Linked DNA regions of Macaca mulatta. The protein of the gene in region 1 interacts with the protein of each later gene in a pairwise test. Links are inferred from orthologs where the notes say so. Each region holds a gene or a part of one and is shown in the gene's direction. Other genes may lie near its edges. The genes, in order: TANK and PLK1.

The links.
Region 2: the proteins of TANK (region 1) and PLK1 interact in binary tests that used the Homo sapiens proteins (3 or more experiments, as listed by UniProt). The link is inferred for Macaca mulatta from reciprocal best matches to the Homo sapiens genes TANK and PLK1.

The regions. Positions count from the first base shown.
Region 1 is NC_133417.1:66,034,675-66,038,495, forward strand, and holds part of TANK (TRAF family member-associated NF-kappa-B activator), read left to right. Parts: intron 1-153; coding exon 154-230; intron 231-864; coding exon 865-980; intron 981-3,821.
Region 2 is NC_133425.1:23,232,216-23,235,999, forward strand, and holds the end of PLK1 (serine/threonine-protein kinase PLK1), read left to right. Parts: exon of another isoform or gene 1-125; coding exon 126-281; exon of another isoform or gene 282-1,319; coding exon 1,320-1,397; exon of another isoform or gene 1,398-1,916; coding exon 1,917-2,071; exon of another isoform or gene 2,072-2,159; coding exon 2,160-2,342; exon of another isoform or gene 2,343-2,525; coding exon 2,526-2,729; 3' UTR 2,730-3,032; downstream 3,033-3,784. Other genes in the region: ERN2 (serine/threonine-protein kinase/endoribonuclease IRE2), read right to left, coding at 3,512-3,724. UniProt on the Homo sapiens protein: Serine/threonine-protein kinase that performs several important functions throughout M phase of the cell cycle, including the regulation of centrosome maturation and spindle assembly, the removal of cohesins from chromosome arms, the inactivation of anaphase-promoting complex/cyclosome (APC/C) inhibitors, and the regulation of mitotic exit and cytokinesis.

The DNA.
Region 1 (3,821 bases):
AATTGTATATTACATATAGGTCTATAAGCTGTCTCAAGTTATTTTTCAATAGGGAAGGTAAATAAGTTTTCCTTTGTGTTTTCTTTTTACTTGATCTCATTTGAATTTGGAAGCAATTTAAAGTAGTAATAGTAATCATTTTGTATCTTTAAGGTAAGAAGACAAGAGGTTTCTTCTCCTAGAAAAGAAACTTCAGCAAGGAGTCTTGGCAGTCCTTTGCTCCATGAAAGGTAGTTCTACATCCTTTTTTTTGCCAACTCTTAAAAATTTTCAATACTGAAATATATTTTATATATATATTTTTAAGCTTTAACAATTGCAAAAAAATAGCCTTTTAGAATAAGTGGAAGTAACCATCCCCAGAGTCCTACATGTTAAAAATGACCTAAACAAGTCATGCAGTTAATAGCAGAGCTGGATCTAAAACTTGAATTCTCTAAAGCTCTACTATTTCAATAAACCAAGTGTTAAGGCCATATTTCTTTATATGGATGGATCCTAATGTGAACTTTACCAAAATGAGGAATATTTAATATTCTATTTAAGATGTTTGCAGAGAACAAAAGTCAATGCATTGAAATTTCTAATGTGAGAATAAGACAGCCAGCATTAGTGTATATATGAATAAGTAGATATGCTAGACTATACTATATTTATGTATTAAAACTTTTAATTTATCACTTACTTGGTGCCTGGCCCTCTACAAACACAAGCTGGTTTTTGGGATATTGTCTAGGAATTAAAAATTTTTTTTTAACTTTTAAATATTTTGTGGCACATAAAATGGTACTACATAAGTTTGATTATTTTAAAAACTTGGAAATTATAGCTTTACATTTTAAAATGTTGATTTTTATTTTTTAGGGGTAGTATAGAGAAGACTTTCTGGGATCTGAAAGAAGAATTTCATAGAATATGCATGCTAGCAAAAGCACAGAAAGACCACTTAAGCAAACTTAATATACCAGACACTGCAACTGGTAAGATTTAATTTAATTTACAGTAATATTGATTTGATTGATTGAAATTGATTTCTTTTTGAATGTGAAAATATTCCTGAATGCCTATTAATTGTGTAGCATCTGTAATTTACCCCTCATCCACGTATATTTGAATGTGTACATGCTGTGTAAGTTCTGTAGTGCATTACATATGTATTTGTTGGTTTTTTTTTCTTTGTTGTATATGGTACTATATAGATTGAATTGAAAGACATAATTACTAATTATCTTAATGAGAAATCCCACCTTAAAAAATACAAAATAAATATTGACTATATCCCTGAAAGTTTTCAGTTGTTGTTTGGGGGACTTATTAAACATTAACTCTTATGTGAATAAGCGACCTTGAAGCCATACTACCATATTATATGAGCTAAGTAAAATTATAACATCAGGTTTGTTTGTAAGTTCTGCCTGAAAGTTCATTACATACACTATGGATAGATGTTTTTTTCTGGTTTTTTTTTCTTTTTTTTAATTAAACACAGGATCTTGCTATGTTGTCCAGACTGGAGTACAGTGGCTATTCATAGGCGTGATGGTGCACTACAGCCTTGAACTCCTGGGCTCAAGAATTCTTTGAACTCATTTGGTTCAAGAATAAAAATGTGACACTCAAATTTCCTGAGTGCTAGTCCTGTTTAATGCACAAAATATACATTTAGTATAAAATACAACTTAGAAGGAACGTTTGTTTTACACATGTGTTATAGTATGTTTTATAAATGCTCCACCCTTTCCTAAAACCCCAGACTGGCTTCCTGGTATTTGCTTCAGTAGTTCTATATGAATAGCAAAATACAAGGGATTAGGTCTGGCAACCAAACACTTCTGCAAACAAAAGGAAGGTAAACTGATCATTTATAATGATAAATTCTCCTTTACCCTTGTGATTTGAGCTATTCTGCAGACAATTCCCAAGGGATGTGATTTACAGTTTTCACTCTGAGAGATGTAGTCTTGCTGACTAACACCCCTTTAATTAAAGATCACTTTCCATTTCTTGCAGCTCTTACATCTAGGCTATTTAAAATAATTTTATAGTGTAAATTCACTTTTTGCTACTACTACCATTTTATATTCAGAAAAGTTACACAATGTGGTATTACAGAAGCAAAACAATCTTTGTAAATACATATAATTTGGTTCTTTCTCTCCCTTCTCCCACCTCCCCAAAAACAACTCTTTTCTTCACCTGAATTTTTGTCATTTTCATGAGAAATTGATCTTTTGTATGGACTAAAGTCACTAGGTACCTCTGAAGTAAATGAATTATTTCTGTTTAAAATATGCTAGCTATGGAGATGTAGTACCTAGAATTCATAAACATGCTTTTTTGAACATCAACATCTTTTCAAGGCATTGTAATGGTGATATATTCTTTGTTACACAGAAAACTTACCTCATTATCAGTGGCTTAATACTTTGACCATTTTTAAATTGCACAGGTCTAAATCTGAGTATGTATCTGTCAACTAGAACACTGAGTGTTTAACTTCAATTTCTTCTCCACTAAAACTGCTTCCTGATGCTTTATTTTTATGCTTTATATTAACAGTGTCACAAATAATAAATATATTATTCTCAAAATATTTTGTGCTACAGACTCTAGTGAAGTTTTGCTGGGGTCCAAAGAGAAACCAAAATAAATATTATGCTCTGACAGTAGTATATCAAAAGGAGAAAGGAAAAAATATTTTTTGAAAAGATGCCTATTCATGGTTTCCAAGTATGTATGCTATACTGTATAAAAATATAGAAGAACTATTTCAAATATGATTTGCATAATATATCTGGGAAAAGGTATGTGTATTGTCCCTGTGTTATTTTGTATTAAAGTTTGATGTTTGCTTTTAAATAACCAGATGATTCATTTGAAAATACTGAGTTAGTAGAATTTTTACATTTCCTTTTTATTATTACTTTGTTTTTTCTACTCATCTACATATGGCAATAGACTTGAGAAATGATAAACAAAATGTATGTTTATCCATAGCTTCAAATAAAGTACTGTTTGGTTCATAAAGGAGTGTCCAATTTCAGTAGAGATTAGGAAAGAAGAATATAGGATTAAGGGTAACAAACATCCATGAGCAGGGTGACAAAAAATCATGAGGTCTTTTTCTTTTGTCAATATACAAAATAATTATACTGAGAAGTAACTAAATGGATAGCCTATATTTAAAATTTGGAAATCTAAAAATGTTTCCCATTTTACTTTTTCCTTGCAAAACTAAGTATTCTTAAAATAGACAAAATAGAAAAGCTATTTGCTCACCTGATCATGTTTCTCAATATGGTGTCAGGATGACAAGTGCTTTCATGCATCTCATTTGAGTTTTAAGTTGTCTCAGCTTAGATTTCTAGTAGCATTAGAAATCTAAGGTTTAAATTTTTTTAATAGATATAACTCTCACTGCTTGAGCAGATTAACTCAGATTATTTTAATGTGGCTGAGTTTTATGCCAGCTAGCTTTGCTGAAAGAAAATATCTGTTTTTTTAGAGCTGTTTGATTTCTCCACGTTTTGTTCACAGCCGGGATAGATCAACTGCTGGAAAAATAATTCAAAGCACATTTCTGTCAATTTGGGGACTTCTCTCTATATCTAGAAACCAACATGTTCAATTTAGCATAATGGTTCAGAGCACAAATCTAGAGTTAGATCGCCTGGGTTCCAGTGGCAGATCTGCCACTTACTATTATAGTTGTGTGGCCTTTGAATTAACCTCTCCAACCAGTTGCTTCACATGTAAAGTGGGGATAATAATAGTGCCTACCTCAGGATTACTTTATTATATGAATTAATGTACATACAATT
Region 2 (3,784 bases), on another chromosome or scaffold:
CCAGGCACTGACTCAGTTTCCCCAAAGCAATGGTAGCTAAGAGAATTTTTCTTTTGGAAGAGTTTCAGCTGTGGCAGGGGAGTCCTATGCCCTTCCCAACGCCCCTGTTTTTGTCACCTTTCTAGGCTTGGAGAACCCCCTGCCTGAGCGTACCCGGGAAAAGGAAGAACCAGTGGTTCGAGAGACAGGTGAGGTGGTCGACTGCCACCTCAGTGACATGCTGCAGCAGCTGCACAGTGTCAATGCCTCCAAGCCCTCGGAGCGCGGGCTGGTCAGGCAAGGTGGGTACTGCGGGGCCCTGGGCGGGGCAGGATTGCTTGGGGCATCTGGAGAAGGCAGGAGGAGCCTTGGCCAACAAAGCACTGGTGACTTGTCCAGGCCCTGTCTCCATAGGACCATTGGTTTCCCCATTTCCTGATATCCGAGGCCCTGCTTGCTGTGGCTCCTGCCTTCTTTTCTGATCCGTCTCTTACTCTAGCACCTCGATGTGCCACCTTCACACGCTGTTTCTTTTGCTCAGTAAGTTCCTGTTGTTTCTTCAAGACCCTTGAAATAACAGACCCAGACGTACTGCAGCCTCAGGGCTTTCTCCCTGGCCCTGGCATGAAAGCACTTCTTCCAGACACCACATGGCTCACACTGTGGCCTCCTTCAAGTGTCTGCTCCGGTGTCACCTCCGTGAGCATCTCCCTGGCCCCTCTGCTGGTGCTTCGCATCCCCTTACCCACTGCATAGTTTTCCATAACACTTCTCACCCAACATAGTCCAACACGTCCTTCTTCTTTGATTGGATTTAAAGTAAGGTGTTTGTTGCATGCACTGAATATAACATTTTAATGTGTTTGCAGCCGGCGTCTGTCTTCACAGTTTCCTAATTACTCCAAACTGGAAAACTAGATGTCTCTGACTCTTACCATGATAGAAGTCACTGATATTTTGCCCATACTTAATTTGATTAGTCTTTGCCCCTGCAACCACAGTGTAAGCTCTGTGGAGGCTGGGGTTTTGTCTGTTGCTCACTGTACCTGCAACAGTGCCTGGCACGGTAGGCCTTCAGTAAATGGGTCAGTGGAATGAAGGAGTGAGTGGAACTTGGTGCGCTGTGTTGAAACTTTCTGTGTAGAGATGTCTATGCTGCTGCTTGTCTGAGCCTGTTGGCAGCAGAGGCCCTGCTTTGCTCTTCTCTGGGGCCCTAGGCCTCTCAACTGAGCCCAGGTGGTGTGCCCAGCAGGCTTCCTTGTTCCCTGGTGTGGGCCACATGTGTGGACCAGAGAAGAAGAGGCTGGTCCTGACCAATTGTCTGTCTGTTTCTGTCTTAGAGGAGGCTGAGGATCCTGCCTGCATCCCCATCTTCTGGGTCAGCAAGTGGGTGGACTATTCGGACAAGTACGGCCTTGGTAGGTTTCTTCCAGAACCAGGTGGGTGACTCAGGCACAGCCAGGTGACCTTTTCAGTTGTTACAGGCTCTGGCCTTTTTGAGCTCCCAGGTACTCTTAGTGCCCTCCTTTCTCCATCCCAGGCCTCCCAATTCCAGCTCCCAGTGCTCCCCGACTCCCCAGCCTTTTTCCCCCACTGCCCAGAGACAGGGTCCTACTCTGTCGCCCAGGCTGGAGTGCAGTGGCACAGTCATGACTCACTACAGCCTCAAACTTCCAGGCTTATGCCTGGCTGCAGGCTCAGCCTCCTAAGTAGCTGGGACTACAGGCATGCACCATCACGCTCAGCTAATTTTTAAAATAGTTTGTAGAGATGAGGTCTCATTACATTGCCCAGACTGGTCTCAAACTCCTAGGCTCAAACAATCCTCCCCCCTCAGCCTCCCAAAGTGCTGGAATCACAGGCATCTGCCACCGCACCCAGCCCCACTCCCCACTTTCTATTCCCCCTTTCTGAGACCTCTCTCCACTGATCCCTAGGGTATCAGCTCTGTGATAACAGCGTGGGGGTGCTCTTCAATGACTCAACACGCCTCATCCTCTACAACGATGGTGACAGCCTGCAGTACATAGAGCGTGACGGCACCGAGTCCTACCTCACCGTGAGTTCCCATCCCAACTCCTTGATGAAGAAGGTAAGTGCCGTCCGGCTATTGCGGGAGTGGGACCTGTGCTGGAGGGCGAGACTCTAATTCTGGAACCCCTCACTTACTTTTCATCCAGATCACCCTCCTTAAATATTTCCGCAATTACATGAGTGAGCATTTGCTGAAGGCAGGTGCCAACATCACGCCGCGTGAAGGTGATGAGCTCGCCCGGCTGCCCTACCTGCGGACCTGGTTCCGCACCCGCAGTGCCATCATCCTGCACCTCAGCAATGGCAGCGTGCAGATCAACTTCTTCCAGGTGAGCTGGATGTCACCAGGGGCAGGAGAGAGCTGGGGTAGGCTCCACGTGCTTGGCAGTGGCCCATGTGAGTTGAGTATGGAGTGAATGGCTCAGGTACCTATAACCTGTTGTGTCTTCCCTCTACTCCCTAACATACACTGGCCTCTGGGATCAGCAATCCCTGCCCCTCTTCTCTTGCAGGATCACACCAAGCTCATCTTGTGCCCACTGATGGCAGCCGTGACCTACATCGATGAGAAGCGGGACTTCCGCACGTACCGCCTGAGTCTCCTGGAGGAGTACGGCTGCTGCAAGGAGCTGGCCAGCCGGCTCCGCTATGCCCGCACTATGGTGGACAAGCTGCTGAGCTCACGCTCGGCCAGCAACCGCCTCAAGGCCTCCTAATAGCTGCCCTCCCCTCCGGACTGGTGCCCTCCTCACTCCCACCAGCATCTGGGGCCCATACTGGTTGGCTCCTGCGGTGCCATGTCTGCAGTGTGCCCCCCAGCCCCGGTGGCTGGGCAGAGCTGCATCATCCTTGCAGGTGGGGGTTGCTGTGTAAGTTATTTTTGTACATGTTCGGGTGTGGGTTCTACAGCCTCGTCCCCTCCCCCTCAACCCCACCATATGAATTGTACAGAATATTTCTATTGAGTTCGGAACTGTCCTTTCCTTGGCTTTATACACATTAAACAGATGTGAATCTTCTTTTTCTTGTATTTCCTGAGGGGTGCCAGGGCCTGGGATCCAGGGAACATCTCTGCTTCATCAGCCCCAGGCTGCCCAGCCTCTGCCAGTCTTGTGGGGGGTAGGGGGTGACAGTGTCTGTGGACCAGACTGGAGTGCAGTGGCATGATCCTGGCTCTCTGCAGCCTGGAACTCCTGGGCTCAAGCGATTCTCCCACCTTAGCCTCCCAAGCAGCTGGGACTACAGGCGTGCGCCACCATGCCTGGCTAATTTTTCAAATGTTTTGTAGAGGTGGGGTCTTGCCATGTTGGCCAGGCTGGTCTGGAATTCCTGAGCTCAAGTGATCCTCTCACCTCAGCCTCCCAAAATGCTGGTATTATAGGCGTGAGCCACTGCACCCAGCCTGGCAGTCTTTTCTGATTCTGATTCTGAGGCCAGCCACAGGCTCAGCTCTTCAGCTAGCCAGCATGGAGACCATTTGTGTGGCCTCCGGCCCACCTCACCTCCCTGCAGCCCCAGGGCACGACCCCCTGGCCTCTGAGTCTGGTGGGTAGTAGGGCAGGAAGAGGCTCTCAGAGGCGCAACTCCTCATGACTCGGTGCGTGTGGAGGAGCAGCTGTGGGAAGCGGTTTGTGAAGTACTGGACGAAGCCGTCAGGGACTTGGCCAAGTGCCTGTTGCACCTCAACTGGGAGCTCCCTGTAGTGGTGCTTCTGGGGGTAGGTAGAGCAAGAGAACCCTGGCTCAGCTGCAGCCGTGCCTCCCCAAGACCC